Oryctolagus cuniculus: one gene and its partners. The protein of the gene in region 1 interacts with the protein of each later gene in a pairwise test. Links are inferred from orthologs where the notes say so. Each region holds a gene or a part of one and is shown on either strand. Other genes may lie near its edges. The genes, in order: SKAP1, EEIG1 and PRAM1.

Region 1 (10,040 bases):
CAGTTGCCCTCTGAGGCTGTTGGCTAAGCCGGTGGCTGTCAGATTGAGAGGGGAGCAGATTTGCTGGGTGAAGTTTCCAAGGGAATGCAGGAATTCACTGCATCCAAAGGTCTCCTTGAGGACTCTGCACCAACAATGTCCTTGACAGGAAAGGGGAACAGGGAGACAGTCCAAGCAACTCAAAAGCCTTGCTTTCTGTTAGAGAGAGGAGAGAGAATCTTCCATCTGTAGTTCACTGCTCAAATGGCTGCAATGGCCAGGACTGGGCCAGGCTGAAGCCAGCAGCCAGGAGCTTCTCCCACGTGCCATCTTCCACTGCTTTCCCAAGCGCATTAGCAGGGAGCTGGATTGGAAGTGGAGCATCTGGGACTTGAACCGGCACCCATATGGAATGCTGGTCTCGCAGGCTATGGCTTAACCACTTATGCCACAGCACCACCCCACTCTACCCTTTCTTGCATTGTAAACAAGGTCAGCTCGGCCATGACAGCTGCAGGCCAGATTCCCAATCAGTCCATTTGTTTAGCGCTGCTAGTTTCTTCCCCTTCAGCTAGAAGGGCAAGAGGTTTGAGTGCAGTGCTTACCCTTTGGTGCCCAGAGGTGCTGAAAGCTCTCTGCCATTGGTAAATGGTTCTTGTGGTCCACAGGTAGAGAAGCCATGGCACTCGGGGATTCTGTTGTAAAGGCTGGAAGCCAGTGACCGTGTTGTTCAGAGCCAAGAAGTTACATTGACCCTGTTCCTTTTGGAATCCAGTTTTCACCCTCCCCAGATACCACTCTTCCTCTTCTGGTATCCCCTTTTCTAGCGTCCCAGGCATAGGGCAGGGACACCATGGATCTCGGCCTTCCAGACTTGGGTTCCTGGGACTTCCCCAGGGAAGGATGGGGTGTGGGACATAGAGGGGTTTGTGTTTGCTCTCTCTGCTAAACCCTTTAGAACAATGCCCATTGTCCCTACCTGTGGGCTGGGATTGGTGCAGAGGTTCCCAACACAGGAGGCTATTGGTTCGCTTTGGTTCATCTGCTCGTATGCTGCCACCTAGTGGTTCGTTCTCCTGTAGCACCCATGTAAAGTGGAGGGGACATTATGGACACTTCTGTATTGCTTTTTCCCCCATGACCCAGTTCTAAATTGTCCCTTTCCCTTACCTCTTTATCCATCATAGACAAAAAAGGTTTCCTCTTGAAACTCCTGGGTCAGAACATCTGTAAATGAATAGTTGACATAAAATACTTTATTGAGAGACTTGGAGCCCACGGATGCCCCTGTTGGCTTCCTGGTTTCCCTCTGGGAGTGATGGAGATGTGTTCTTACTCCAGGGCTTCAGTTTGGTTGCGACAGAGACGAGGAAGCTTAGTACCAATCCAGGACCGCGCTGAGCAGGCGGTTTCAGCAATGACATTTGTGTTGCAGTGACGTTTCGATCGTTGCTCTGTTGCGTATCTTTGGAAAATTCTCGTGGAGAGGGCCAGCCAGTAACAACAGCTAACCTTCACTGAGCAGTTACTCTGCTTGGCACTGTTCCGAGAGTGTTACACCTATTGAATCCTTTGCTCTTCCTATTGCCTAGTGACTCAGTGAGATAGGGTCTGCCCCTTCTAAGGTGAGGAAGTTGTGGCATAAAAGGTCAAACATCTGGCTCGAGAGAACACAGTGATCTGGGAGCTGGGATTTATTCCCAGGCTGTCTGGTTCTGGAGCTCCATCCTTAGCCATGTTTTGCTGTGTCTTCAGCATGCAGATGACCTGAGTGGCGGGAACAGGCGACAGGAGAGGGGAACAGGGAGACCTGTGATCGCTAGCCTGCCTCAAACGCCTCCCTCAGCCCCCAGCTGGGGCGCAGGACACAGTGGGATAGTTAACCAACCCAAGGCCTGGAGAGGAGCTCTCCAACGTGCTGACTCACGTGCTGACTCCAGGACCTTGCCTCTGGCTCTTTTTTTCTTTCTTTCTTTTATTATTTATTTATTTTTTTTGACAGGCAGAGTGGACAGTGAGAAAGGTCTCACTGTCAGAGAGAGACAGAGAGAAAGGTCTTCCTTTGCCGTTGGTTCACCCTCCAATAGCCTCCGCGGCTGGCGTGCTGCGGCCGGCGCACCGCGCTGATCCGATAGCAGGAGCCAGGTGCTTCTCCTGGTCTCCCATGGGGTGCAGGGCCCAAGGACTTGGGCCATCCTCCACTGCACTCCCTGGCCACAGCAGAGAGCTGGCCTGGAAGAGGGGCAACCGGGGCAGAATCTGGTGCCCCGACCGGGACTAGAACCTGGTGTGCCGGCGCTGCAAGGCGGAGGATTAGCCTAGTGAGCCGCAGCACCGGCCACTGGCTCTTTCTTGTTTCAGGGAGATTCAGTCCATAAGAAACCATCAAGGAAGGGCTGGCGCTGTGGCACAGTGAGCTGAGCTGCTGTAGCCCCTATCGGAGCATCGGTTCGAGTCCTGGCTGCTCTGCTTCTTCCTTTTAAAGATTTATTTATTTGAAAGAGTTACAGAGAGGCAGAGGCAGAGACAGAGGAAGAGGTCTTCCATCTACTGGTTCACTCCCCAAATGGCCAAACTCCCGGAGCTGGGCCGATCTGAAGCCAGGAGCCAGGAGCTTCCTCCAGGTCTCCCACTCGGGTGCAGGGGCCCAAAGGCTTGGGCCATCTTTTACTCCTTTCTCAGGCCACAGCAGAGAGCTGGAGTGGAAGTGGAGCAGCCGGGACTCAAACTGGCACCCATATGGGATGCCGGCACTGCAGGCGGTGGCTTTACCGGCTATGCCACAGCGCTGGCCCCTGCTCTGCTTCTGATTCAGCACCCCCTGCTAATGCACCTGGGAAAGCAGTGGATGATGGCCCAAGTGCTTGCGCCCCTGTCACCCACGTAGGAGACCCGGATGGAGTTCTGGGCTCCTGGTTTTGGCCTGAATCTGCCCGACCATTGCTCTCTCTTTCTCTGTCACTTTCCCCTTCAGATACATAAATAAATAAATACATCCTTCTGAAAAATAAGAATAATTGCTCCTCGATATCAGTGGGGATGGGTTCCCCATAAGGCCCCCATCAGCTACTAAAACATGTGGATGTTCAAGTCCCGTACACAAAATGCTGTAGTATTTGAATAGAGCCTACACACGTCTCCCTGTCTATTTTAAATCATTGCCAGATTACTGACAATGTTGAAGACAATGTAGACTGTTGCTATTCTCTGTTGTGTAGGGAATAATGGCAAGAAAGAAGGCTGCCCATGTTCAACACAGACACGATTGTATCTGCTGTTGCTTGCGTCCACGCATGCAGAACCCACGGCTGTGCAGCCAACCACAGCCAACCACAGGGAACCCAAGATGCGAGCTGGAAACCGGCAGGCCTGGGCTCCTGCGCGGATTCTGATCTGAGAAACAACTGCCAGTGTCCTGCTCTCTCTGGGCTTTGCTTTTCTTTTTTGATTTATTTTATTTAAGATTTATTTTATTTATTTGAAAGAGTGAGAGGGGGGGGGGGAGGGAGAGCTTCCATTTGGTTCTCTCCCAGAATGGCTGCAATGCTCAGGATGGGCCAGTCTGCAGCCAGGAGCTCCCTCCCGGTTTCCCAATGGGTGGCAGGGGCCCGAGTCCTTGGCCGTCGTCTGCTGCCTTCCCAGGTGCATTAGGAGGGAGCTGGATCAGAAGCAGAGCAGCTGGGACTCAAACCAGCGCTCCGATATGGGATGCCAGTGTCGCAGGTGGCAGCTTCGCCCACTGTGCCGCGGTGCCGGCCTGTGCTTCTGTTTTCTGTCTGTCTGTCCCCTCCCACTTTGCTCGGCGGTGGTGAGACTTCCAGAGACAGCATTTTGATTCCATTACAAAAAGGAACTCAGCGGGGTCTTCTGGCCTAGTAGTTAAGGTGCCCGCTTCTCGTGTCAGAGTGCCTGGCTTCCATCCCTGGCTCTGGCTCCTGACTCCAGCTTCCTGTTAACGCAGAGCCTGCTAGACAGAGGTGATGGCTCACCTGCTCAGGTCCCTGCCAGCCACGGAGAGCCGGGGGAGTTCCCGCTCCTGACTTCAACACGGTTCAGTCGCAGCCGCAGTGGGCGTCTGGGGAGTGAACCACTGGACGAGAGCTCCCTTAATGTCTTCGTCTCATATACAACAACAACAGCAACAACAGAACTGAATACCATCACACAGCAAAGAATAAAACCTGAAGTTTATTTGTGCTTTTCAAATCAGCCAAAACAACAAGAAACTTCTCCTCCTAGGGCTTGGCTTGCACCTTCTTTTTCACAGGCGTGTGGAGAAGCAGCGTGGAGAGGGGCCGAGTCAGCACCAGGCTGGTTTCGGAACAGGTCTGGGGGGTGTGGCTTCCCCACCGTCTCACTGGGGGTTGACAGTCACCACCAGGTGCCTTGGGTCTCTGGATGGCGTAGGGGGTGCTGGCGGTCGGGAGTTGAGGCTCTCGATCAGTTTCTTTATAAAGGCAGGATAGAGAGAAGAACATGTTTCCTAAAGGGGGAGAGATGCATACATTTGCTTTAATGATTCAAAACACAGAAGGCTAAAAGGACATCGGGTGGAAAGTCTCCCGTCGTTACCATCCTAGTGCTGCAGTTTTTCTGTCCCTGAAGGCAACCGATGCTCCTTTCTCTCTCCTTCTGGAAACAGCTCACACATATATTAAAAAAAGGTGTGTGTAGCCTCCATTCCCAAATGGGGCAGACTCAGCCTACTCTTTTTTTTTTTTTAGAAGATCTATTTATTTATTTGAAAGGCAGAGTTACAGAGAGGCAGAGGCAGAGGCAGAGACAGAGAGCGAGGGCTTCCATCCACTGGTTCACTCCCCAGTTGGCCACAATGGCCAGAACTGGGCCGATCCGAAGCCAGGAACCTGGAGCCTCTTCCAGGTCTCCCAAGTGCGTGCACAGGCCCAAGCACTTGGGCCATCTTCCATTGCTTTCCCAGGCCATGGCAGAGAGCCGGGACTCAGTAGGGGATGCCATCACTGCAGGCGGCGGCTTTACCCACTATGCCACAGCGCTGGCCCCTTTTTCTAAAGCTGTTAACATATCTCAGAATGTATTTCATAATTTCTTTTTTTTAAACTTTTGCATAGAATTCAAGTTTATGAATGTGTTACAATTACTTGAACATTTAGGCCATTTCCAATCAGTTGTTACTACAAACAAGTAGCCTTCTATGCATAGCATTTCACATGTGTGCAAGTATGGCTGTAGGAGAAACTCCTACAAGTAGAATTATTGGGCTACGGAGAATAAAGAGATAAACAACTTTAAACAAATGACAGAGTGAAGGAGGGTGAAGCTGTTTAGATTTGATAGAAAAATTCCAGCTCCTCTCCCTTCATGGTCAGGAAGCAGAGCCCTCATTTGGACAGTCATAAAGTCAAACCTTGAGCAACAGGCCCGGGCTGATGATACTCCGTGGTGTACAAGGGCACCGGAGAGTAAGATCTATCCTTATGTACACTCCTAAATGAACTCACTCAGCTGTGGCTGCACACTGGCGTGGGCCCCAGCCTGCAGGGCTCCAAGGACGCTCTGTATCACTGCCACACGGCTGTCATCCTTCGCCCCCAGCAACAGGGGCTGCCCCCACTTCCGGCTGGAAGACGAAGCGCAAGACATCGCGCCGGTCTTGGGCGCCCTTCATCACTATTTGAATCCTAAACAAAACCCACTCTGCACCAAAGTGGCTCCTACTGTTATCGCGCCCAAAGCAAGCATTCACTCCCACTGTTTTAAAACATAGTGTGGTTCTTGCTCATAAGACACAAACCGTATTCTTTATTACTTCAAAGTTAATATGATTATGTCCTGTAGCATCCCTCATCCTGGCTTCCTGATCTTGGCCAGTCATGTTGCAATGTGTGGCCGTTTTAGCAAAATGGTTCCCTAGGTCTGGGGACACAGAAACCCAGAGTTTGTGGCAACTTGCTTTTCAATATCTATCCTTCTCTTTTTGCGTACGTACTAATGAACCCCCCACTTTTAAGCTGGGCACAGGGAAACTTAGAATAGAGTCATCTTTGCAGTGTGGTATGTCTGCAGATCCAAGTTCTAATATGTGAGCAAAAGTGGAGGGGGGCACGCAACATTTGAAAAACGTCCTTAAAGGGAAAGGAGATGCCCTTCTCCTTTAATTTTCTTTCTTGCTAGGTAGGATGCGGATGTGTTAGCTGGAGCTGGAGCATCCTTATTGACCATGAGGTAACCTTGAGAATGTTGGGCACGCACAGTGGAGCATAAAGAGAAGGTACCTGGGACCTGCACCTCTAGAGTTTTATAGATGAGAGAGAAAAAAGTTTCTGTGTTAATTAAGTCCCTCTTATTTTAGATTTTCTGTCATTTGTTAGCGGAACCTAACCCTAGTGGACCCAGTCCCCAAATCAGGAAAAAACACTTCCAGACCCATTTTCTTTCAATGGTGAAGCATGAGCATCGCTTCTGAAAAGCGGAGAAAAGCCACCCCCCCCACCCCCCCCAGCTCTCACAGAGAAAGTGAGTCAGGCCGACAGTTTCCAGCCTACCGGGGCGGTTCAGGGATGACGGTCTGGAACCTGGGCTTCAGTTCTCCTCCGGGTCAAACGCCGTGGTGAGATACTCCTTAGGAACGATGCCAATGAGGCTGTTGAGCTCTCCTACCCACCAGCCATACACGTTGTACTCCTGGAGGGGAGAGAGGGCGGTTTCAGTTGGAGTTCGGGCCTTCTCCTGTCTATCTGTTGCCGTGATTGGCTCCTTAGTTGGCACCATCGGTATGAACAGTGCATACCCTGAGGGGATCATTCAATTCACAGACGTCATCTGGAGGGGAGAGCAAACGTTTGCATGGTGCTGGCTTCCTGTCTACATCACAAACTTAACATACTGGACGCCATGGCTGAACCTAAGGAGCTTTGTATGTTTTTAACCAAACAGAAGAGTAGGCCCTGTGCAGAGAACACTATCGCTATTCAGAAGGTCATTTCAGAGTTCACATCAGTACTGTTATTCACCAAGCATCTTCTTTTTTTTTTTTTTTTTTTTTTAATTTTTGACAGGCAGAGTGGACAGTGAGAGAGAGAGACAGAGAGAAAGGTCTTCCTTTGCCGTTGGTTCACCCTCCAATGGCCGCCGCGGACGGCGCACTGCGGCCAGCGCATCGTGCTGATCCGAAGGCAGGAGCCAGGTGCTTTTCCTGGTCTCCCATGGGGTGCAGGGCCCAAGCACTTGGGCCATCCTCCACTGCACTCCCTGGCCACAGCAGAGAGCTGGCCTGGAAGAGGGGCAACCGGGACAGAATCCGGCACCCCGAACGGGACTAGAACCCGGTGTGCCGGCGCCGCATGGCGGAGGATTAGCCTAGTGAGCCGCGGCGCCGGCCCCCAAGCATCTTCTACGTGCAAGTGCTGTTGGGGTTCCTGCGAGAGGTCTGCTGATGAACTCAAACACTGCTTGGCCCTCAGGAGCTCCCAGCATAGAACAGTGGGCTTTGGAGGCCGACAGGCTGGGAGCCCATCCCTGCGGGGCCATTTAGGAGCCACGTGACCTCAGGCTGTCTCAGCCTTGCCTTCCTCGGTGGGTAGGAGCAAGGGTGGAATCTGCCCCCCCCGTGCTGTGGGGGTGTAAGTGACATTGCTGAAGCAGAAACAGAGGCGGGACATTGAGAGTGACAGGCAGGAAGGACGGAGTGCCCCCAGCGAGGGTTTAAAAGAGAGCTGAGGGGGGGTCGTGAGGTTGAGGAAGGAGCTCCTTGAATACGGGAGCGCTTCTCAAACGCCCAGCACACGGGGGCAGCTCCATCGGGCTCCAGGAAATCAGCACGGAACTTGACGAACGGGACGTACATTCCAGGTGAACTGGACTTGAGGGACGGTGGACTAACTGCTTGTGCACAATTGCTGAGCTCTAGTAGAAGGAAAAAGAAGGGCACGAAAGGCAGGTTGGAGAGCCAGGAGGCCCCGGCTCCCTTGCGTCAACTGGGGACCTTGTGTCTCCCTCCTCCAGCTCTGCCGCCCCCCACCCTGGCAGCAGGTGCCTTTTCCCCACCTGCCAAGAGAAAACAGGCCGTCAGATTCGCCAGCCTCCAGCCACCAAAGCAAGGACTCGGACAGCGCCCCTCTCCTGTTGAAGAGGGGAGGCGCCCCCGCCCTGGTTCAAGGCTGTCCCTCACCACGGGACCCGCCCCTCTCCTTCTCGAGACGGCGTTCTCTGGGGTCTGTGGTAACGGCCCCTTCCATCCGCACTGAAGTCCGTCTGAGCTTCTGAGCTCTTTGGAAGCGGCTGTGAAAGTCTGCAGTGCACGTGTGTTCCCCTTCCGCTGGACTTCGCCGACTGCACTTCGCCAACGCCTTGGAGAGCGCCCACTTGCTGCCCCTTCCTTCCTCTCCATTCGCTCTTCGGGCTGCTCTCAGCAGGCGTCTGCTCCCACCATCCCACGGACGCTCCGTCTCCTCCCAGCTCGGAGCCTCCGGTCCGTTCCAGTCCTTTAGTTACTTGATTTCTCAGCGGTGCTGGTACTATTGACCCTGCTTCAGGCATTTTCTTCTCTTAATTTCTATGACGACTGTACTGACGTGGCTCCCTTCTGCCTCCCTGGTTGCTTCTTCTCATTCTTTGTGGGCTCATCTTGCGCGCTGCTTCGGCTGTGCTCGTCTTCCAGGCTTCTGCCCTGGCCCTCCTCTGTCACCTGCCGCACTTTCCTCTAGCGATGCATGTACCTCCGCGGTTTAAGCTCCACGTCCGTGCGAATGACTCATGACCAGGGCTGGCTCAGACCCAGGGCTTGGGGCCCGAGATCCAAGAGCATGTCCACCAAGCAGCTCAGGCTCAGCACGTCCCCGACGTGCCCCCCATCTGCTCTACCCCCATCTCCCCTTCCAGACGACCTTCACCCCTTGTTTTCTCCATCTCAGCGAGTGGCTGCTTCCTCAGTATAACTCAGTAACTCAAGCCAGAAACCCAGGAGTTTTTCCCCCAGCTTCACCGCCTTTCCCAGTAAACCCTGGAGCCCTGCAAATTCTCTTTCCAAAGCCTTATGGGATCTCCCCACTGCTCTCCACCCCCTTCACCGATGCCCGGGGTCATTGTCCTCTCTCGGCTCTCCCGAGGACTGCCAAACCTGCTCTCTGAGTCAGCATTCTTGTTTACTCCCCATCTTCATTCTGCAGCTAGAACTTTTCTGAAATGCACGTTGATAACATCACTGCTTTGCTTGAATCCTTTCAGTGGGTTCCTACAGTCTTCTTGGTTTTAAAAAAATTTATTTGAGGGTGCAGCGCTGTGGCACAGCGGGTTAACACCCTGGCCTGAAGTGCTGGCATGCCCTATGAGCACTGGTTCGAGACCCAGCTGCTCCACTTCCGATCCAGCTCTCTGCTGTGGCCTGGGAAAGCAGTGGAGGATGGCTCAAGTCCTTGGGCCCCTGCATCTGCATGGGAGACCCAGAGGAGGCTCCTGGCTCCTGGCTTCGGATCGGCGCAGTTCTGCCCATTGCGGCCATCTGGGGAGTGAACAATTGGATGGAAGACCTCCCTCTCTCTTTCTCTCTGCCTTTCCTTTCTGTGTAACTCTGACTTTCAAATGAATAAATAAATCTTTAAAAAAATTTTAAAAAATAAAAAATTTAAAAAATAAAAGATTTATTTGAGAGACAAAGAGACAAGGAGAGACAGACAGTTCACTCCCATCCTCAAAATACTCACCATGCCATGTTTGGGCCAGGCTGAAGCCAGGAGCTGGGAATGCAATCGGGTCTCCTATCTGGGTGGCAGGAACCCAATTACTTGAGCCATCATGGCTGCCTCCAGGGTCCGCATGAGGAGGAAACCGAAGTCATGAGCTGGGGCCGGGTTTCAAACTCCAGGCGCCTCCCATGTGGGACGTGGCTGTCTTAACCACTGAGTTAAATGCTCGCCCCTTTGAACTTCCTGACAAGACAGACAAGGCTCAGCATGACTTGGTCCCACTCGCCGGCCAGGACTGTCAATCACTGGCGAGCCCTTGGGAAAACAGGACTTGTCTCAGCCACGCCCATGAGCCACAGCTGCTCTCACCTTGGCGCCCTCCCTCAGCCTGATCCGCAG
Region 2 (10,309 bases), on another chromosome or scaffold:
CAGGCCCACACGTTACTTAGCTGAGCCCCAAGGCCGCCCTGCATGTGATTCTACTACTGACCCCGTCTCTCAGAGGAGAACTCAGGCCTGGAGAGGCATGAGCCCGGTCAAGGTCACACGGCAAGTGGGAAAGTGAGAGCTCCCAGACATCCGGGGGTGGGGCGGGGGTGGGGGGCACATCACGCCGGACTACACTTCAGACACCCCCTCCTCCAGGAAGCCTTCCTGGCCCCAGACACACTCTGCCCCTTGTGGCTGTCTCCCCCAGCCCTTGCACATCTGCAGGTGGACAGGCACACGATTTACTGGTGCTGTGACCAACACCTGTGTCTCCCCGGGGGGCCTGGGGGCAGGGATGCTGCCTCAGTGTTGGTGCTGGGACCCTGGGGCCCGGCACTGCAGCCGGCATGCACAGCGCACACACGGCATCGGCCGGTGCACACAGAACCCACACCGCCCCCTGCTCAGCGAGCTCTCCCCCAGGCCCTGCGCACAGCGAAGCAGTGGAAGTGGGCAGGCGGGGAACAGTACCTGAGCTAAGGATGGTGGGTCGGGCCTTGTGGGGCCGGGACCCTGTCAGAGAGCTGGTGCTGCTGCCGCCGCCACCACTGCTGGTCCCGCCACCCTTACACGTCAGCTGCAGGGAGGAGTCCTGGCCCGGGATGGAGATGGACTTGGCAGTGGACGGTGGCCTTCGGAAGACACATGGGTGTGACTGGGGCGTCCCCACCTCGGGGCCAGATGGCGACAGGGGAGCCCCAGGGCCCGGAGGAAGGAGGGCCCTGTATCCCACCCCACTCCTGCAGCCCAGCAGCACTCACGTCTTGAAGCAGGGGTCTCCGGAGAGCAGAAACATGCCAATGGTGACCTGGGGGGGGGACAGAGAATCAGCCACCACGCCACCCACACCAGCCACTCACGGCCCCCGCCACCTTCCCACCCCTGCCGAGGGACCGCCCTGGGCCCCCGTGGAGGTTGGAAGTGACCCCAAGGCCTGCCTCCTGGCTATGCCCAGCACAACAGGTGCATAGCAAGAGTCGGCTGTAAGGGGCCGACACGGTGCAACTCACTAAGCTACTGCTTGAGACACTGGCCCCCCATATGAAGTGCCAGTTTGAGTCCCGGCTGCTCCACCTCCCTCCAACTCCCTGCTAATGTGCCTAGGAGGGCAGCAGCAGATGGCCCAAGCACTTGGGACCATGTCATCCACATGGGAGACCAAGACAGAGTTTCTAGCTCCTGGGTTCAGCCTGGCTTAGCCCTGGTTATTGCAGCCATTTGAAGAGTGAACCAGGGGACAGAAGATCTCTCTCAAATAAATATGTCATTAAAAAGAAAAGAGGGGGGTGGGCAGCACTGTGGCGTAGTGGGTAAAGCTGCCACCTGCAGTGCCGGCATCCCATATGGGTGCCAGTTCGAGTCCCGGCTGCTCCACTTTCGATCCAGCTCTCTGCTGTGGCCTGGGAAAGCAGTGGAGGATGGCCCAAGTGCTTGAGCCCCTGCACTCGCATGGGAGACCAGGAGGAAGCTCCTGGCTCCTGGCTTCAGATCGGCGCAGCTCCGGCTGTTGTGGCCACCTGGGGAGTGAACCAGAGGAAGACCTCTGTCTGCCTCTCCTTCTCTGTGTAACTGACTTTCAAATAAATCTCAATAAAAGAAGTTAGGGGGGTGCAGGGGCCCAAGGACTTGGGCCATCTTCTACTGCTTTCCCAGGCCATAGCAGAGAGCTGGATCGGAAGTGGAGCAGCTGGGACTGGAACCGGTGCCCATACGGGATGCCGGCACTTCAGGCCAGGGCTTCAACCCACTGTGCCACAGCGCCAGCCCCTTGCCTTTTGTTTTAAGGTTTATTTGAAAGACAGAGTTACAGAAGGAAAGAGGGGGCCGGCGCCGCGGCTCACTAGGCTAATCCTCCGCCTTGCGGCGCCGGCACACCGGGTTCTAGTCCCGGTCGGGGCGCCGGATTCTGTCCCGGTTGCCCCTCTTCCAGGCCAGCTCTCTGCTGTGGCCCGGGAGTGCAGTGGAGGATGGCCCAAGTGCTTGGGCCCTGCACCCCATGGGAGACCAGGATAAGTACCTGGCTCCTGCCATCGGATCAGCGCGGTGCGCCGGCCACAACGCGCCGGCCGTGGCGGCCATTGGAGGGTGAACCAACAGCAAAGGAAGACCTTTCTCTCTGTCTCTCTCTCTCTCACCGTCCACTCTGCCTGTCAAAAAAAAAAAAAAAAAAAGAAGGAAAGAGGGATAAATAGATAGAGATCTCCCATCTTCTGGTTCAGCCACAATAGCTGGGCCAGGGCCAGGCCAAAGCCAGGAGCCTGAAACACCATCTGGGGTCTCCCTACTGGTGCAGGGGCCTAGGCACTTGGGCCATCTTCTGCTGCCTTCCCAGGCCATCCGGGGAGCTGCACCGGAAACGGAGCAGCCGGGGGGGCGGGGGGGGTAGGAGGCTTTCTATGCATCGCTTCTTGGCCTGGACAGCCGCCGCAGAGCAGTGCCGGCCCCACGTGGAGAACAAGGAAGCGGAAGCAACTGCTCAGGACCCTGCGGCAGGACACAGGGCAGCCGGCCTCGCCTCCGAAACCCCCTGACCCACAGGCCCCGGGGTCTGGCCTGGCTAAGGGTGCGTGGGCCCAGCGCGGGGAGGCGGACAGGTGCTGCGGCTCAGTGCCACCGGCCTGGGCTTTTCTGGTGCCTCCAGTTCTCTCTGCAGAGGGTCACAGAGGCCCTGGGCCCGTGGCCCTGCGGCCCTGCACTGCTTCTGCTTAGAGGTCTTGTCTCCATAGCCTGTTTTCCCCACCAGGGAAGGGCACACAGACAGAGGAAGTGAGGTGTTCTGGCTGTAGCCACCCAGACACCTCTGCTGCCAAGAGGCCAGAGAGGCCGCTGCCTGGGGCACGGGGGCTGCCTCCGCCACCGGAAACCTGCACGTGGCCAGCAGGGCGGGCAGCCGCCCATGCACACCCAGGTCTGGGAGGGCAGGTTCCTCCACTTGCTGCTGCTGCCAGGGGCCAGGCGGCCTGTGTCACGTGAGGCCAGGCCACCGAGTCAAACGGCTTGGAGGTAAGTGCCAGCTCTGCTCGTGACCCAAGGCCATGAACCTGATCCAGGTGTCTCATGGGGCTACTAAGACACCACACCCCTCAGGCTGCTGGGGGTCACGAGGTGAGACAAGTCTTCAGCACTCTGTGATCCCGCAGGAAGTGCACGCCAAACCCGGACGGTATGATGGCGTCCACCCCGACCACGGGTGGGGAAACTGAGGCAGGCGCCCGGCCACACCTGCAGTGTCTCTCACTGCCTGTGCAGGTGAGAGCCCGTCTGTCAGCCCCAGCAGCCGGGTCAGCAGGTCCCGGGTACCTTGAGGATGGAGTTGTCCTGGCGCGTGTTCTTGGTGTCGTAGCCCTCCAGGAGGCAGCAGCGCACCGTGGAGCCCGAGCCTGCAAACTCGGCCAGGTTCAAGTCTGCGAAGCCCAGCTGGGGGGAGGGGGAGGACAGCGTGGGTGCAGGGCTGGCAGGTGCCCCAGAGGGTTAACTCGGCAAAGCTCCTGGGCCCGCCCACAGCCCTGACTGAGACTGACTGTTGCATAACCAGGACCCAAGGACAGAGGCCCGGGTCGCAACGTGGCAAAGCCAGGAGCTCACATCCCTGAGCCGCACAAAGCAGCCTTTGTGCCGCGTCCCAGTGTGCACCGGGGCCAGCACGCCTGACATGAAAAGACATTGTTGTCTGTGACACAGACGCATTGTTCCCCAGGAAACAAGGCCGTGCTGTGGAGCAGGCGGGGAGGAGGGAAGGCCTGTGGGAACCTGATGGCGGGCAGGGGCGAGGGGACGCCCCACGGAGGGGGCTCCGGGAGTAGAGGGGAAGGGACACTTGGCCGGGCAGGCGGGCACCCCAGGGTCATCCCTTGGAGGAGGTGGGAGTGAGGATCTGGTGGGCGGAGCCGACATCTGGACAGGCCGTCGGGGACTCAGGCTGCTGCTGACACTGCGTCCAGGAGAGGAGCCAGGACAGGGAGGAAACCCAGGACGCAGCCAAGCTGGTCAGACTCACAGGGGAAACAGCAGAGGTGGGGAGTGCCAGGCTTGGGCCCTGCGGGATGCTTCCTGGTGCCTGGGAGTAGATTCGGACCCCAGCCCCGCCCCTGCTCACAGAGGGACCTCCCCTTCACGGTGAGGCAGGGCAAGTGACCCGACTTAACTGGCAGAACCAGAACTGACACGGGCCACGCCTGCCACCTCCCGGGGCCTCGATTTCCTGCTCAGGGTCCAGGGCCAGCAGGGCCTGTGCCGGGGGCTCTCGTGCAGAACAGAGTGGCGGGGGTGGGGGGCAGCGGGGTCTGAAGTGTGCTAGGTGCTAGTCAGTGCCAGCCGGGGAGGCCCTGGCTGTTTGCTGGCAGCTTCTCTCGGCCGCCTTCCCCTACCTCAGCCACCAGGAAGGGCGCTCTCCACTGTGACAGCTCTATGGCCTGGGGCAGAGGGCGTAGCCCAGCCCGGCGCCTGAGCTGGGGCCACTGGGGTCACTAGGAAGGGTGCCACCCTGGGCAGCACCGCCCCAGGCGTCCCCGCAGAGCAGCGGAGCAGGAGGTGAGACTGAGGCACTTCCTGTCCTCCGCAGGGCGGGCGTCCTCACAGCCAGCACCCGGGGAAGAGGTTGACAGTGTGGGCTGAGCCGTCTGTGTGTGTGTGTGCAAACCCACGGTGGGCCTGGCTGAGCCGGCGCTGTCACCAGCCACGCAAGGGGGGGCCGTGGCTGCCCTCAGCATGTGCACACGGCAATCTGCCTGCACGAGAGGCGCCCGTCACGTGACAGGTGGGAAAAGCCCGCTGCAGGAATCGCGCATCTGCGCATCTTACGAAGTCACCACCCGCCCGTGCACACGAGGGCAACCACAAGGCGCGCCTCCTACGGCGCTCGAAAGCACCACTCCGTGTGTACGACGGGAAATCCCTAAGCGATGCCGATGGAGGGGTCCCACGGGGGCCTGGCGGAGGAGGGCGCGGAACGCAGCGCCTGGGGACCCCGCCTGTGTGGCGACAAGCACACGCTGCCTTGTGAGACTTCCAGAGAGGGATACAGCTCAGGCAGGGCTGTGTCCTGCGGGGGCAGAGGAAGCCACACACTCTAGAAACTACTGCCCTGCCTGACCTGGGCCGCCCCTCAGGGCCCCTCTTACCTTGGAGTAAGCCTTCCCGCCTTTCAGCTCCTGCACGGGGAGGGAGACACAAGCGACAAGGTGACCAGGGAATCCAGAGACCTCAGGGTGTCCCCGGTCCTCCCAGATACGAGTGCTGGTGAGGACAAGACAGGGGCAGAGGAGCCGGCCCTGCGGCGCAGCCGGCGTCCCACGCGGGCACCAGCTCGAGTCCGGCTGCTCTGCTCCCAACTGAGCGCCCCGCTGACGCAGCTGGGAACACGGGGCCCTGCCACCCAGGTGGGAGCCCCGGGCCCCGTTCTGGGCATCTGGGGAGTGAACCAGGGATGGAAGCCTGTCTCTGTCCTCTGCACTTCAAACAGTCTTAAGAACGGAGTGGGGCAGAGCGCCTTCCTCCATCCTACATGGGGAGGACCCACACCCGCCACCGCTCACCTTGCGCACGGACACGCGGCAGACGCAGGGATCCAGCAGGCCTGTGGCCGGGTTGGCGCTCATCTTACACACGAAGGTGAACCTCTTCCGCCACCGGACACAGTTCTCCTGCACCTCCTCCCTGCAGGCCAGAGGGGGACGGGCACGGCGTGGTCAGTGCGTGGGCCCCTGGGTGAGCGACAGGGCAGGGGCCCGGCACCTGCAGGAACCAGGGAAGAGGGGCTCTCGCCTCACTCTGTGACGTAAAGGGACTGCTTTCTCACAGAGCTGTGCTTCTGTGGTTGTAAAACACAGCAGAGGTACTGAGAAGCGGAAGCCACGGGGGAGTCAGGGAGGACCGCAGGCCTGGGGCAGCGGCACCTCCTGGGAGCCCCCAACCTCTGCGCCCAGCACTGCCCCTCCCCCAACTCTGCTGTGACCTCGGGTGCTTCCTTCCACCTTCATCTCGGGGACCCTGGGAGTCCTCCCAGGCTGATTCCTATCAGCCCATTGTGCAGATGAAAAGACTGAGGCAGGCGAACTCCCCAGCTGCAGGCAGCCAGCCAACGGCGGGGCTGGGCCCGAACCCTAGTTCTTCATCACAGTTCCAGCAGCCACCGCGCACATGGTGCTTTCCCGACAGGCGTGGGTGGTGCCCTAGGCCTGTAGCTGGACACTGCTGGACCCGCCCATCCACGGGTCCTGCAGGCCAGGCGTCCAGGCCCCATGGTCCACGAGCTGTTCTACAGCTTCAGAAAAGCCAGCAGCAGAGCCTGCCTCATGGACCCTGCAGCTTCCCGCAGCAGCCCGATCCCGGCTGGAGAACCCAGGGCTCTGGGGGCCCACGGCAGCCTCCCGCAGCAGCCCGACCCCGGCTGGAGAACCCAGGGCTCTGGGGGCCCACGGCAGCCTCCCGCAGCAGCCCGACCCCGGCTGGAGAACCCAGGGCTCTGGGGGCCGCGAGCCTTGCCTGCGCCCACCGCAGGGCTGATCCCAGGCAGCCTGGCTCTGGGTGCTCAGACAGCAAAGCGGGGCCCTGGCTTCCCCCAAGTCCCACCTGGGCACGGAGCACCACCACACTGGAAAACTCGGCACCCTTTAGCCCCTTTAACACGAGGCCTGCTGTGCCCTGGAGTGGGTGTGAGAGGCTACGCAATCCTCTCCCAGCAGCTGTGGGAGGTGGGATCCCGGGCAGCAGCTCCCCGGCCCCCCGCGGCCTGCCTGACAGAACAGCTCAGGAAGGGAGGGGCTGTGTGAGAGGCCTCGTCCCCAGCTCATCCCACCCAACTGGACAGCTCGGGAAGTGACTTCTCTAACCCAGGGTGACCCGGGAGTGCGGGTTAACCGCCAGACTGGGGCTGAGGTTGGAGGGAGCCACGGTCACCTCCCCAATGACAGCGTGTTTGCTTCTCAAGGCAGCCTCTTCTACAGCTGAGGGCAGAGGGGCCGAGAGACCCCCGCCCCTGACCCCCATCACGCTCCTACGGGCTGAAAAAGCAGGATGGGAGCCAGGACTGTCTGACTCAACGCAAAACTCTCAGCCAGTATCTCCACTCACACAGTCCTGGGGCCTGGGAGAGCCTGGCAGGTGCACCGCGCGGAGGGCGTGGGACCAGCTGGGTGCCCAAGGCACCTACCCGTGTCTGTGTGGAAACCACTAAACACAGCTGCCACGTGACCCACCAATTCCACTCTCAGGGGAACACCACAACTCACACCACACACATCCGAGTTCCCATAGCAGCCTGAAGGAAAAGCAGCCCGATGTCTACCAGCTGGGGACCAGCTAAACACAACGTGGTCCAGCCACACCACGGAGCAGTGTCCGGACAAGAGCCCAGGCAGCCACGGGTGCCACATGTGATCAACCTCCAAGAGGCGCTGTGCTAGGTCAGGTGTTTCCACGACACGCCCAGGGCGTGCAGAGCCACAGGGCAGAGGAGGGCGGCGGCTGCCGGGGGCGGGCAGGGTGGTTAACGGCACAGGACGCCTCTCTGGCCTAACAACAGGTCCTAAACACTGACTGTGGGGATGGTGGCCGCTCTGCGGATGGACTGACGACCCCCTGGACTGTACACCGTGCGGGCTGGAAGGTGACCTCTGTCACAATGAAACGACTCCTCTTTTGCCTTCAAAACTACGTGGAGGACAGATACACAGGAAAATGGAGAGCAAGGGCAGGGAGTGCCAGGCAGGGATGAAGAGGCGATAGCCACTGCTTCAGGTGAGTGGACGGGACGGCGTCAAGGCACTGACATCTGAGCGAGGCGTGGAGAGAAGTCCTGGGGCGAGAGTGGCCGGATGGGACAGGCGCTGTGCCGCGCGCGGTGGGCTAAGCCTCCGCCTGTGGCCCCGGCATCCCATGAGTGCCGGCTCATGTTCCGGCTGCTCCTCTTCCAATCCAGCTCTCTGCTGAGGCCTGGGAAAGCAGTGGAGGATGGCCCAAGTGCTTGGGCCCCTGCACTCACATGAGAGACCTGGAAGAAGCTCCTGACTCCTGGCTTTGAATCGGCTCAGCTCCAGCCACTGTGGCCACTTGGGGAGTGAACCAGCGGATGGAAGACCTCTCTCTCTCTCTCTCTCTCTCTCTCTGCCTCTCCTCTGTGTAACTCTTTCAAATAAATAAATAAATCTTAAAAAAAAAAAAAAAGGAAAACGCTGGAGGAGTGGACAGAAAAGGTGAAGGGCCTGGGGGCAGACACACTCGGCAAATGGAAAACCAGCAGAAGGCACCTGGGGAGAGCGGAGGGCAGGGGCCGGGTGAGCAGCAGGGGCCGGGTCTACGGGCCTCAGGAGCCTCAGGGCGGACGCTGGATCTGAGAGGGCTCGACTGTCTCCATGGACTGCAACTTAGGCAGAAGCCACGAGCAACCACAGAGGCTGCAGACAGAGGGGCAAAGCTGGAGAGGGGAGAAAACTGGGGGTGGCTGTGGAGTCCATGTGGACCCCCAGCCCCTCCCCCCACCCCTCCCAGAGCCGGCAGCAGCCATGGAGAGCCGAGGAGGAAGCTGTGTGTTCCGGGCGTGTTGACACACCAGGGATTAGGACGGGAGTCTGTGAACAGAAGCCCAGAGTGCGCTGGGGCTTCCTCCCGCCCCTCGGAGGCTGCTGTGGGAATGGCCGACCAGGAAGCCCGGGCCCATTTGTGGTTCCTGTCCGCCCTGCTAGGCCGGGCCGGGCAGAGACAGCCACATGGAGCCCTCCCGGGCTCAGGTGACGGGCGGGTTCCCTCCCCCTGGGGAAGTGAGCAGGGCAGGGCTGGAGGATGGGCACGGGCTGCACTCCAGTTCCCATAGGGCTCTCAACTGTCACCTGCTCCGTGTCACCGCTCCCACAGGACACAGCAGCAGCCCGGGCCAAATACATACCAGCACAGTGGCCACTTCCCACGGTGGCTGCCACCACGGCTCACACACGCTGCCAAGCTCGCCCGCGGCAGCACGGCTGTCCCGCCCCTTCCCTGAGCCCACACCGCCTCCCCTCACAGCCAGCGCTCCCACAGAGGAAGCTGGGTCCCGAGCAGAGGGTGGAGCTGAGGGCAGATGAACACGGGCCTGGGGCCAGGGCCAGGTGAGGGACGCGCCTAAGAGGGGGGGCGGCCGGTCAGCTGGAGCCCCGGGCTGGAAGCTGGCCAGGCCATCCCAGGGACCTGACTCTCAACACCTTTAACTCAGCCCCTCCACACGCCAGAACTGCTGAAGGCGCCCTGGACGGCAGCGGTCAACCACACGGACAGCAGGCTGCACTCGGCTGAGAGGCGGCAAAGGCCCAGCACTGCGAGAAGGAAGTGGGGAAGGGGGTAGGCACTGCTCGGGCGGCCAGGGAAGAGCTTAATGGAAAGGTGACATGGGAACAGAACACTGGGGGAGGGAGGGTGAGCCACACGGACACCCGGGGAAGAGCCATCGGGGCACGTGCAAAGGCCCTGAGGCGGGCACGCACTCACAGGTGAAGGAGGGCACAGGGCTGGTGTGGCTGGAGCAGGGAGTTGCGGGGGGAGGGGGCTGGAGAGGAGTCTTGGCCCAAACTCACAAGGGCCCGTGTGGAGGTGCCAGCAGCCACAGGTGTCCACGTGTGCGTGTGGCCACAAAAGGAGTGGTGACACCTGGGCAAAAACGAGCACAACCCCGATGTGTAACGGGGGCCGCCCAACAGCACCGAGGGCAGCTGCCCAAAGAAGGGTCAGAGACCGCCCCCCAGGCCACAGGACAGACGTGGGCGGGGACCTCCGACAGGACCACGCGTCTCCTGAAATAAAACAGTGGCAGCCGCGAGCGTGCAGGTGCACAGGGGACACGGGAGGTGCCCGAGTCACCACCCGCCAGGGCCCGTGGTGGCTGGGGCTCCTGGAGACAGAGGAGGGAGGACAGAGACGCGTGGGTGGGGAGAGGAAACATTACCTCCTTTTTTCTCTCCCTGGTCCAAGTATCAGTTGCTTTTTAATTTCTTTTAAAGTCGGCCAAGCCAAGAGAATTAACTGGCCTACCAGTCCTGGGGATGGCAATGTGGGGAGAGGCTGGAAGGCCATTCTGGGGAACAGTCCCTGGGGAGCACAGAGGCCACCCCAGCACCACGAGACCCCAGGGAGGGGGGGATGACCAGAGGCCCAGGAGCCACCCGTCCCAGAAAGAGGGGAGTGTGGAAAATCTACAACACTCGAGCAGCCCTGAAGAAAACCGTGGATAAGGTGTTCACTAGGAAAACAGGCCAGGCCCCGGGCCAGATGGCAGAACCCT
Region 3 (10,409 bases), on another chromosome or scaffold:
ATCCTCACCACGCCACAACATCCTCACCTACACCTTACAACAGAGGCACAGGCACTGACAAGGCCTCCATTTGTCTTCGGCTCAGCCAGCACCTCTGGGATGGTTGAATAACGTGTTACAGAGATCTAAGCTGTACTGTCCCATCTCTCCCAGAGGGCCTCTCCTTCAAATGACCCCCACAGAGCCGATGGTAAGCCTCCTCCTGCTAAAAATTCATCAGTGGTTTCAATAACACAAACCACACCCTCTGTCTCCACTGCTCACCTGGCCCTGATGACCCATTCTGCACCGAGGCCACTTCCGGACCTCTGCACCCCGCCCTGGCCATGCACCTGCAGTGCGCTCGCCCCCCCACTGTTCCTTGGCAAAGACAAATCTGTCCCTGTTTCAGAATTCCGAAAATAGTGGGTGTTGCTGTAAGAACCCCCAAACCTGGGTCCGTTCACCCAACGCTCAGAAACCCAACCATGGACATTGGGGATTTATTTGCAAAGTGCAGAGCAAGGAGCCGGGCAGCTCTTGCTTAATTCGAGGGCTCCCGGAGGAGCTGGGATGAAGGTTCTGGTAGACTGAAATGGGGCTGACAGGTGCGTGCTCAGCTCGGTCCGTGCACCTCGCACCCTGGGGCAGTGGCGCTGGTGACCTTTTGAGTGGTCAGCGAGGTCGCGCTCCTTCGGGAATTCTCAGGGTGGCCAAGTGGGATTCAGCAAGTCGGGGGGGGGGCGGTCACGGGGAGCTGGGGACCTGGAGTCTCCCCGCCTGGACCTGGAATTCCTCTACACGAATCCCTCTGGACAGTACTGGCCAATAGGGCTTTATCTACCAGAGCAGCAAGTGCCTCCGTGGGTCTGGTGATCAGATCCCTGCAGCGGCCCCCTAGGGGCCTCACCTCCGGGACCTCGGCACCTGGACCAAGACTAGCCTGAAGACGGGCACTTAAGCCACCAGCTCAGCGGACCCCTTCCAATTGCCAATTTCCCCGCAAGGAGGTGGCTCAATCCAGGAGAACCGCACTTTGCCGCCTTTGGAGGGTGGGTGGCGGGACGGGCCCGAAAGGATGTCCATTTTGCGCCGACGACACGGAGACCAGGAGGGACCCCCTCATCCCGATCGCCGGTTCTCCGCAAGGCGCCAACCGCGCTCGCCCACAGCGGCGACCTCGCGGCTGCCCAGGGTGAGCCCATCTCAGGCCCCGCCCCTCGCGGGGCGCCTCGCGCAGGCTCCGCTCCCCCGCTCTCGCGAGAGCTGGGATTCGGAAAATGGCGCCGACGTGAGCTCGAGGCCGCAGCGCCGAGGAAGTCGCTGCCTCCTCAGCCCGAGCCGCCGGAACCGCGAAAACGAGAGGCCGAGCCAGGTTGAGGATGGTGAGCGCGGCGCCGGGGGCGCGGGCGCGGCGGAGCAGCGGGAACCGACAGGGAGCGTCCCTGCCAAGCACACACCCTCCGACCGACCCCGCCCCCACATCCGGGCACCAGCCCGCAGCTGGCTGTCACTCGGCAATCGCCCTACCCCTACTTCCGGGCCTGGTTTCGACACGGCCACGCCCACAGGGCTCGGGCTCCGCCCCTCTACTAGGCATATCCGGGCCCTCAGCTGCTCCACGTCCGTCTATGCAGCCCGAGGTTGGCGGGGCCTGTCTCCATCCTCAAACAATCCGCTTCTGGCCTCTCCAGCATCTTGCCTAGGGTTGTCCAGTCCAGAACCCCGCCTTCAAAGCCGCGGCCCCACCCCCTCCTGGGCCACGCCCTTTCCCTGCCTTAGGAATTGGGGATGTGTCTCATGGGCACAATTACCCCCACCCTGTCTTGTAGGTGCCTCCTTAGAATGGGGGTGCCAGGGTGACTTCTAGGTGGGGAAGGGGGTTCCAGAAATGTCCGGGCCTCGTGGGACAGGTTCCCTGGGGCGCACAGGAGCTCCCTCCCCCTCTTCCTTCCACCAGGAGGAGGAACCGTCGGGGCCCGGCCCGGACATACCGGCCACTGCAGAGCCCAGCTCCAGTGACACCGACAAGGAGGTGTTGGCCCCGGTGGTGGCAGCCACTGCCTCCACCTCCATGGAGGAGGCGCCGGGCCCCGACCGGGCAGCTACGCCCCCAGTGTGGCCCGCAGGGACACAGCAGGGTGCCTCCCCAGCCTCAGAGCCTGGACCCAGCCCTGGTCCAGCCGGCACAGCCCCGGGGACCAGTGAGGAGCTGCGGCCTCCCAGACGACGCCCAGCACCAGGTGACCTGTGATGGGGCCTTCTGGGAAGCCACGGGCCTGGGAACCACTGGAGTGAGGAATGCAGACGTGGGACGTTGGGGTCCAGCTGGTCTGCCCGAGGGATGCTTTTGCCCATGGACCAAGCACCAGCCAGGCCGTGTACCCTCTGGCGGCCCAGTATGGTGGAGGGGCGGGGCGGTGGGGTGGCTGGTGGTGTCCCTGGGAAAGGGACCGCTGACCACCCAGTCCTGTCATCCTGCAGGGAAGCAGATACCCTGCTCGAGCCCTGGCTGCTGCCTCAGTTTCCCCAGCGTTCGGGACCTGGCACAGCATCTTCGTACGCACTGCCCCCCCCCACAGTCCTTGGAAGGTAGGGCCAGGGTAGGTGCTCAGGAGGCCGGCAGGGCCCACCCCTCCGGGGGGCCAGCCTCAGCCACCCCTCTGCCCTCCGTCCCTCCAGGCAAGCTCTTCCGCTGCTCTGCCCCGAGCTGCACCGAGAGCTTCCCCAGCATGCAGGAGCTGGTGGCGCACAGCAAGCTGCACTACAAGCCCAACCGCTACTTCAAGTGAGAGCCTCACCCAGCCCGGGGTCGAGGGCCAGGCCCCTCGCCCTCCCCGCTTAGTGCCAAGGTGGAGGAGATGGGCGTGGCCTCGGGCGAGTCCCGCCCGTCTGAGCTGCCCATGAGAGAGAAAGGGCGGAGCATGCGTGGTTGGAAAACGCACCCCCTAACTTAAAATTGAGACCTCCTTCCGCGTGTTGCCAGGGCTCCAAGTCTGGAGGGGTCGCGGCTGTCGTGGGCGGGAGGTGCTTGGCGAAGCCCGGCGCCTGCAAGTGGGGGCCCTTCGCACGCTCCCAGAGCGAGTCCCCGGGTGGCACAGGGTGGCACACACGCACCTTATCACCGCAGGTGCGAAAACTGCCTCCTGCGCTTCCGCACGCACCGCTCGCTCTTCAAGCACCTGCATGTCTGCGCAGAGCATGCGCAGAGCCCCGCCCCGCCGCCGCCCCCGGCCCTGGACAAGGAGCCCCCAGCGCCTGAGCGGCCCCAGGAGCCTGACCCCGCGTCGGCGCCGGGCCTGCAGTTCCCGCTGCTCGAGCCCTTCACGACCCCCGCCCCGGCCCCCAGCGGGCCTTTCCTACCCTACTTGAACCCCGCGCCCTTCGGCCTAAGCCCCCCACGCCTGCGCCCCTTCCTGGCTGCGGCGCCCGGGCCACCGGCCTCCAGCGCTGCCGTCTGGAAAAAGAGCCAAGGTGAGTGTCGGGGGCGCGGCCTCCTGCAGGGAGCGGCGGGCTGGACTCCCCCTGACTGGACCTGACCCGCCCCTTTATCGCAGGTGCTGGCGGCAGCCCCCGAAGACCCCAGGGCGGCTCCGATGCGCCCTCAGGTGCGTGCAGGTGACCACCAGGGAGGGTTGGCGGGGCTTTCCTTCCTGCGCCCTGCAGGGGCAGTGCAAACTGGCAGGCATCTGTGCCCGTCCCGTTCCCAGGTGGCTAAAAAATGCCACCCCGAAATACAGGATTTTGCCTTAAAAACCACTGGCACCTGCGCCTTCCTCTGCGCCGGCGTTCCCGTGTGAAACTCGCGCCCGCCCAATCACCGTGGAGCGCTCCTTTCCCCACCTGCGAGGGTTCGTGGGCGCAGGGGCCGCGGATAAGCCGAGTTTACGGCGGTGATGACGGGCGGGAGAAACGGATCCAGCTAGGCCTGGCCGCCTGCGCACGGGAGCTGATGGGGAAGCGAGGAAAAGTCCAAGCCGCCGCCCGCGTCCGCCGCCCCCGGGCTAGGGTCGCGGGACTGATAGGGTCCCGCCTGCCTGCCCGCAGGGCACGCGGCTCCGGGCCGCATCGTGTGGGAGCACACGCGCGGCCGCTACTCATGCATGCAGTGCGCCTTCTCCACGGCCTCGCGGTCTGCCATGACCCTGCACCTGGAGGACCACCGCCCTGGCGCCCCCGCGGCCCAGGCGTCCGGGCCGCGCCCCGACGCCTCAGCGGGTAAGGCCAGGGGACAGCGCCGCTGCAGAGGGCGGGGGGCACAGGGGTGAGGCGAAGCCGAGGCTCACGCGCTTCCTTCTCCCCTTTCCCCCCCACCCCAGACCCGGCCCCGCTTGCACCCAGTGCGTCGCCGCTGCTGTCAGAGGGGGAGCTGCCAGTCTTCTCGCCTCTTTGATCCGGGCTGAGATGGGGGGCGGGCGGCGGAGTTGAAGAGTTTTGTGATTTGAGGTGGGGGACAATAAAAGAGGCGCGATAAGCCAGCCTGTGCTGTGTCTGGGTCCCTTGCCCTCTAGTGCACACGGGGCCAAAGCCCAGCAGCCCAAGAGCTCCCCCCCCCCCATCAGCTCACGCCGGTCGCACAGAAACAGGGCCTGTCCCTCAGCCAAGCCATGTCGCATGTTCCCTGTCGCCTCTGTCCTGGGACCTGGGACCCAGGTCTCCAGTGCACTGCCACCCTATCCCTGGGTGGGGTCGAATTCTCAAGTTGTTGGGAGTGGGGAACCGGCATTTGGCAAAGCAGTGAAGTTCCCCACCTCCCTTGTAGGAGTGTCTGGGTCCCAGCTCTGCTGCTCACCGCAGCTCCCGGGAGGCAGTCCGAGCTCACCTGCTCGGGTCCCCACCACCCACAAGGGAGACCTAGATGGAGTTCCCCGTTCCTGGCTTCAGGAACTGCAGGCATTTGGGAAGTGCGAACCCCCAGATGGGGCATAGCTCTTCTCTCCCCCCCACTCGATCTCTCTGCCTTCCAAAGAAATTAATATTTTAACATTTCTGGGGCATCCGTGGGGGTGGGGGCTGTCTGCAGTGCTGGGGTCCCAGGCGACCCTCCTTGCTGCCTGGGCTCCCGCTTCATGGACGCCCGGTCTGAGTCCACCTCTACCCCATCCATTTTGAGAAGTCACACTGGGGTCATCCTGTTACCGCAACCCAGAGCGTCTTTCCCCTATGGCACTGCACCGGGTCAGGGCCTGGCTGCCCTGTCCTTACCCCTCCCCGCTCATGCCGGACCTCTGCCTGCTCCCCTGCAAGCCTGAATGCCCCCCGGTCCCCTGCAGTCCCGCGCCCCCCAACCCTCCCTCTGGACAAAGCTGTGACCTTTGTCAGAGAGGGGCTCCGAGAGCATCAGGACCCGAAGCAGAGTCCTCCTAAGTGGGGTTTGAGTTCCGCCCGGCAGGGGGCGCCCGGGAGTGTCTGAGGGGCGAACCCGTGAGTCTGGCGACCTGTCAGGCGCCCACCTGCGCAGGTGCAGAAGCAAGTGGGCCCGAGATCGGAGGCTCCCACTGACCACGGTGAGCCGCAGCAGGCGTTTTGGCCTGGGTTGAGGCACGGCCAGATGCCCGTGCAGCAGCCGGCAGTGCCCACACCAGCGGGTTACCCTGACCGCGGATCCTGGCCCGAGCACCCGCATCCCGGGCTCCCGACTTCTCGTGCTCAGCCCTCCCACGCCGCAGATTCCCACAGCGGCGCGCTGAGGACTCCCACTCCCCCAAGGCGGACCCTGGCCCAAGCTCAGTTCTTCCAGCTTCTGGTTCTGCGGCTCCGCGTAAAGGCACCAAAAACACAAAGGGGAATGTGGTGGACGCGCCCCCTGGCGGCTGGCGGCCGCCCCTGCAGACGGCGCAGGGCTCCATGCCTGCTTCCTGGGCATCCAAACTGCGCTGCTCTGTGCTGGGGGCGTCCACATGGATCCTGGGGAGTCAGCTGGCAGTCAGGCGTTTAGCCTGCCATCACTGAGCGCCTACTGTATGCTCCTGACCATTACCAGACCTCCTGAGAATCCAGTTCCCAGGGGAACCCACATCTGGGAACTGTGACCCAGCCACGGGCCCCCGAGTGGCTGTTTAGCTGCGCACTGCAATCTCCCAATGCGGTTTCTAACAACCCCGGTCCAGGCCCCGCCCCAGACCAGAAACTGGAAGTTCTGCTGTTTCCTAAGCTGCGCAGGCGATTTCCACGCATGACCACACAGGATCCAGGAGGGTGCTTTCCAGCCTTCCTCCCCGGGACAGGGCCCAGGTTCCTCCAGCCTCCCAGGGGCCGTCCTACCTTGCTTTCCTCCCAATTACTGCCTTCTGGATCCTTCCTTCTGCATTACCTTCCATCTCAGGGAACTTGGAATGTCCCTGCTCCCCCATGGGCGAGTTCTTGGACATCATGGCCCCGCCCCACCCCCAACACACACCCCTAAATCTGCGGTCCCCCAGCCGCCAGCCCAGCAAATCTGTCCCAAGAACAGGGAAGTTCTTGGCTTGCAAAGATGTGTTGAAAAGAGGAAGGTGTATTAGGCAAGACGAGCAGGCAGCTGAGGCCTCACCCATCATACAGGGACCATCCCCCTCCTCACTGGATGCCCCGACCCCTGGCCTTCCGGCCTCAGCTGGCCTGGGGGCAGCAAGTCCCCAGGAGCTCCCACTGGAAGCAAGGAGGCAGCAGAAAGACCAGGGACAGAACGTTCCAGTTGGCGGACATGCCAGTTACCCTGACCTGATCATCGCACATTGCACACGTGGATTGAGACACCACGTACTACCCCACAGATATGTGCAATCATGTGCCAATTAAAAATGTAAAACAGAATCGGGCATTTGGGCCCGCATCCCCCGTGGCAGTGCCTGGGTTCGAGTCCCAGCTCTGCTCCCAATTCCAGCTCCCTGCTAATGCACACCCTGGGAAGTACCTGGGTCTCTGCCACTCCCATGGGAGACCCGGATGGAGTTCCTGGCTCCTGGCTTTGGCCTGGCTGTTGCTTGCATTTGGAGAGTGAACAGGTGAATGAAAGATCCCTGTCTCTCTGTCATTCTGCTTTTAAAGTAAAAATGAAAATAAAGAGGACTGTGATATGAATGTGCTGATTCCATGCACTGAGCAAGGAGGTCAGGGTGGCTGGGGACAGGCCGGGCGGGGCCGTCTCCGCCTCCTTTCCTTCTTCCTCTGCCCTCCCCACCTTGTGTGCTGGCCTGGGGAGCAGAAGCCACAGGCACTTCCTGAAGGCAGCAGCCTGGTGCCCCGGCCCATCACCAGCCTGCAGACATGGTGAGTCCCCCAGCCCCGGGGCAGAGGCTGGGGAGGAAGGGGCACAGCAGGTGGAAACTGGAGGCAGGGGTTCCAAGAGCAGAGACGCGAAGCGGGTGCTAGGGAAAGAGGTCGGGGGACACAGGAATAGTCGGGCGGGGAGCCCCCGAGACAGGAGCCCGGGCTGCGGCTGTGACTTCAGGGCGGCAGCCGGCCTTTCCCCAGCTCAGCCTCAGTTGACAACATGGGAACAGGCAGCGACAGAGGGAGCAGAGCTTCCTGTGGGGTGACTAAGCGGGTCAGGCACCCCCACTCCTCCCCGCTTCTGCCGACCCTGACTCGGGGAGCCCTGTGGTCACCAGCAGGCCTTGACTTAAGCCCCCAGGCAGGACTCACTTTTCCCAGGGACACGCCTGATCCCGAGTGAGGCAAACCAGGCCAGTTACTGCCCTTCCTCTCCCCACTGCTTTGGCCCGGAGGGAAGCCAGCCTCCGAGGCCTAGTTCTGTGAGCCCAGGTGTGGGGTCATCTGAGAGGGTCCCCGGGGCATCCGAGACGACCCCAGGTGGTGGGAGTCCTGTGGACAACGAGCATCCCTTGGACGCCCGTAGGTGTGACCGGAGTGTGCCTGTGTTTGTGGCTGAGTTCCCACCACAGCCCCAGGGACTGGCCCTGCGGACACCCTGAGGATGCTCAGGTCCCTTCTATAGACGGCATGGGGTTTGCACAGAAGCCATGCGCACCCATGCACCCACGTAGCAGAATATCTACTGGGCTGTGAACGCCTAGTGAGCGGCCATGCTGTGCTGCTAAGCACAGCGGCCAAAACTTTGTGGGGGTGGGCGGGCAGGGCTCGGATTCCAGCAGCTGCACGCGCACAGCGCACAGCCCGTGGACATCCTTGTGGAGGAAAACTGGCCGGGGATGCTGGGGGGAGGGTCTGGCGCTGCAGGCCAGGAAAGATCCTGGCAGTGGGGACAGTTCCTCCCGCCATCCATGGTGAAAGCGGTGAGAAGTGGTTAGCTACGGGATGTATTTCAAAACTGGAACAGAAGGGACTGGGCCCGCGGGGGGTGAAGGACTAGGGGGTCCAGGAGGATGCTCTGAAGGCACCTCCCACCTGCTGGAGGTGAGTGGGGGCAGGCCCAGTGCCTAGGTGCACCAGTCAGTAGGGTGTGGTTGGTCTCCAGGAGCCTGGGGGGAGGGGGCGATCTCAGCCCAAATGGACAATAGAGCCAGGGCCAAGGACAGTAGTGTGGGGGTGGGGCTGCGTGCCCCTGACCTTTAACTCTTCCTTGGGTGCCCACCTCGGCCTGACTGGCCTCATGGCCCCCAGGGGAGCCAGCAGGACTTCCGCAGCCTCCAAGCCAGGTTCCAGGCCTCTCAGCCCCAGCCCAGTGAACACCCCAGAAAACCGCCGAAGCCTGACTTCAACAAACTGAAGAAGTTTCCACCGCCTGAGCCAAGCGAGCATCCCAGGAAACCCCCGCAGCCCAAGTTCGCCAACCCCCCCAGGAAGCCCCCGCAGCCTGAGTTCGCAGACCCCCCCAGGAAGCCCCCGCAGCCCGAGTTCGCAGACCCCCCCAGAAAGCCCCCACAGCCCGAGTTCGCAGACCCCCCCAGGAAGCCCCCACAGCCCGAGTTCGCAGACCCCCCCAGGAAGCCCCCGCAGCCCGAGTTCGCAGACCCCCCCAGGAAGCCCCCGCAGCCCGAGTTCGCAGACCCCCCTAGGAAGCCCCCGCAGCCCGAGTTCAGTGATGTCTCCAAGAATTTCTCACAGCTAGACAGGAAGTCCCCGCAGCCCAAGGTCGGTGAGAGCCCTCTGAAGTCCTCCCAGCCGCAGCCCATCAACCCTGCCAGGCCCCTCTCAGAACCCAAATTCAGCACCTTTCCCAAGAAGCCCCCGCAGCCTCAGGTCACCAGCCTCCCTCCAAAGCAGCCGCCGCAGCCCGAGGTCAGTGGTGTTCTTCAGACGCAGGAGGCCCAAGAGCCCCGGCCCCGCTCCCCGCGGCCAGACTTCTTCACGTTTCCCAAGAAGCCCTTGCAGCCTGGGCTTGGGGACCTCTCCAGGACATCGTCGGAGCCCGAGGTCAGCGTGCTGCCCAAGAGGCCGCAGCAGCCCGAGCTCAGAGTGCCTTCCACAAAGCCCCCGCAGCCCAGGCTGGACAGCCTCTCCAGGACATCCTCGGAACCCGAGTTCTGCTCGCTGCCCAGGAAGTGTCTGCACCCACCACGGCCAGGGGGCCCCCGCAAGCTCTCCCAGCCGGAGCCCAGCGCTGCGTCCAGGCAGCACCTGCAGCCCGACTTCCTCACTGCACTCCCCAGGAAGCCTGCGCTCCCAGGCTCCGTCTCCGAGAGCTCGCTGCCCACGGCCATTGCTGGCTCCTGTCCCCAGTTCCCGCTCAGCAGCCCTGGGCTTGGAGTCCCTGGGATACCCCGCTGGGGGTCTGGAGACCTCGCTCACAAGGGAGGGTCAAGGTCAGGCCTCAGGGCCAGCCACCCACCCCGGAGGAGGCCTCTGCCTCCTGCCAGCAGCCTGGGACCCCCTCCAGCCAAGCCCCCGCTGCCCCCAGGCCCGATGGACATCCAGAGCTTTCGGAGACCATCAGTTGCAGCCACAGGTGGGTGAGGGTGGGCAGCCCCAGCAGAGGGGCTGAGGGTCCCAGGCAGCTCCTCCTCCCTCCTGCACCCTCTCTCCCACAGATCTCCAGAGGACAGGCTCTCCTGCTGGGACCCGTTTCCGGGCAGACACCAAGCTGTAAGTGTGGGGAAGGGCCCAGGTGCGGGCTGCAAGGCTGGAGCAGGTCCTCAGCCCAGCTGCCCATCCATCCCTGCAGGGAGCCCGAGTACATCTACGAGCTTTACGACAACGTGGAGCCTGCCGACCTCACCGGCCCGGGCCCCAGGTCAAACCACAGGCCAGACACACCAGCTGCTGGTGAGTGGGACCTGTGTGAGGAAGGGAAGCCTGGGGACAACAGGCAGGGGGTGGCCCGGGTGGCGCAGGAGCCGGGATGGCAGCAGAACGAAGCAAACGGGACCTGGTGGCGACTCAGGCAAGGCACGGGTGGGTCCCTGCGTGCAGTGGGAACACGCTGGGCTGGGGACAGCAGGCGTTCCTGAGATGCCTGTGGGGATGTCCAGGCGGGACAGGGGCTGAAGGCAGGTGGGGCTGTGGTGGGCCCAGTATGCAGGCTGCTC

What was found.
Region 2: the proteins of SKAP1 (region 1) and EEIG1 interact in binary tests that used the Homo sapiens proteins (3 or more experiments, as listed by UniProt). The two-hybrid records come from large-scale screens. The link is inferred for Oryctolagus cuniculus from reciprocal best matches to the Homo sapiens genes SKAP1 and EEIG1.
Region 3: the proteins of SKAP1 (region 1) and PRAM1 interact in binary tests that used the Homo sapiens proteins (3 or more experiments, as listed by UniProt). The two-hybrid records come from large-scale screens. The link is inferred for Oryctolagus cuniculus from reciprocal best matches to the Homo sapiens genes SKAP1 and PRAM1.

Annotation. Positions count from the first base shown.
Region 1 is NC_091448.1:24,413,631-24,423,670, forward strand, and holds the end of SKAP1 (src kinase-associated phosphoprotein 1), read right to left. Parts: intron 6,643-10,040; coding exon 6,541-6,642; 3' UTR 6,504-6,540; intron 4,463-6,503; 3' UTR 4,150-4,462; downstream 1-4,149. UniProt on the Homo sapiens protein: Positively regulates T-cell receptor signaling by enhancing the MAP kinase pathway. Required for optimal conjugation between T-cells and antigen-presenting cells by promoting the clustering of integrin ITGAL on the surface of T-cells.
Region 2 is NC_091432.1:231,349,142-231,359,450, forward strand, and holds part of EEIG1 (early estrogen-induced gene 1 protein), read right to left. Parts: intron 8,224-10,309; exon of another isoform or gene 7,979-8,223; intron 7,798-7,978; exon of another isoform or gene 7,520-7,797; intron 5,716-7,519; coding exon 5,595-5,715; intron 5,211-5,594; coding exon 5,181-5,210; intron 3,478-5,180; coding exon 3,361-3,477; intron 869-3,360; coding exon 822-868; intron 693-821; coding exon 532-692; intron 1-531. UniProt on the Homo sapiens protein: Key component of TNFSF11/RANKL- and TNF-induced osteoclastogenesis pathways, thereby mediates bone resorption in pathological bone loss conditions.
Region 3 is NW_027208201.1:4,529,380-4,539,788, reverse strand, and holds the start of PRAM1 (PML-RARA-regulated adapter molecule 1), read left to right. Parts: upstream 1-4,600; 5' UTR 4,601-7,227; coding exon 7,228-7,230; intron 7,231-8,544; coding exon 8,545-9,829; intron 9,830-9,911; coding exon 9,912-9,966; intron 9,967-10,045; coding exon 10,046-10,146; intron 10,147-10,409. Other genes in the region: ZNF414 (zinc finger protein 414), read left to right, coding at 1,611-1,622, 1,940-2,222, 2,464-2,571, 2,662-2,767, 3,110-3,453, 3,537-3,587, 4,027-4,197, 4,299-4,372. UniProt on the Homo sapiens protein: May be involved in myeloid differentiation. May be involved in integrin signaling in neutrophils. Binds to PtdIns(4)P.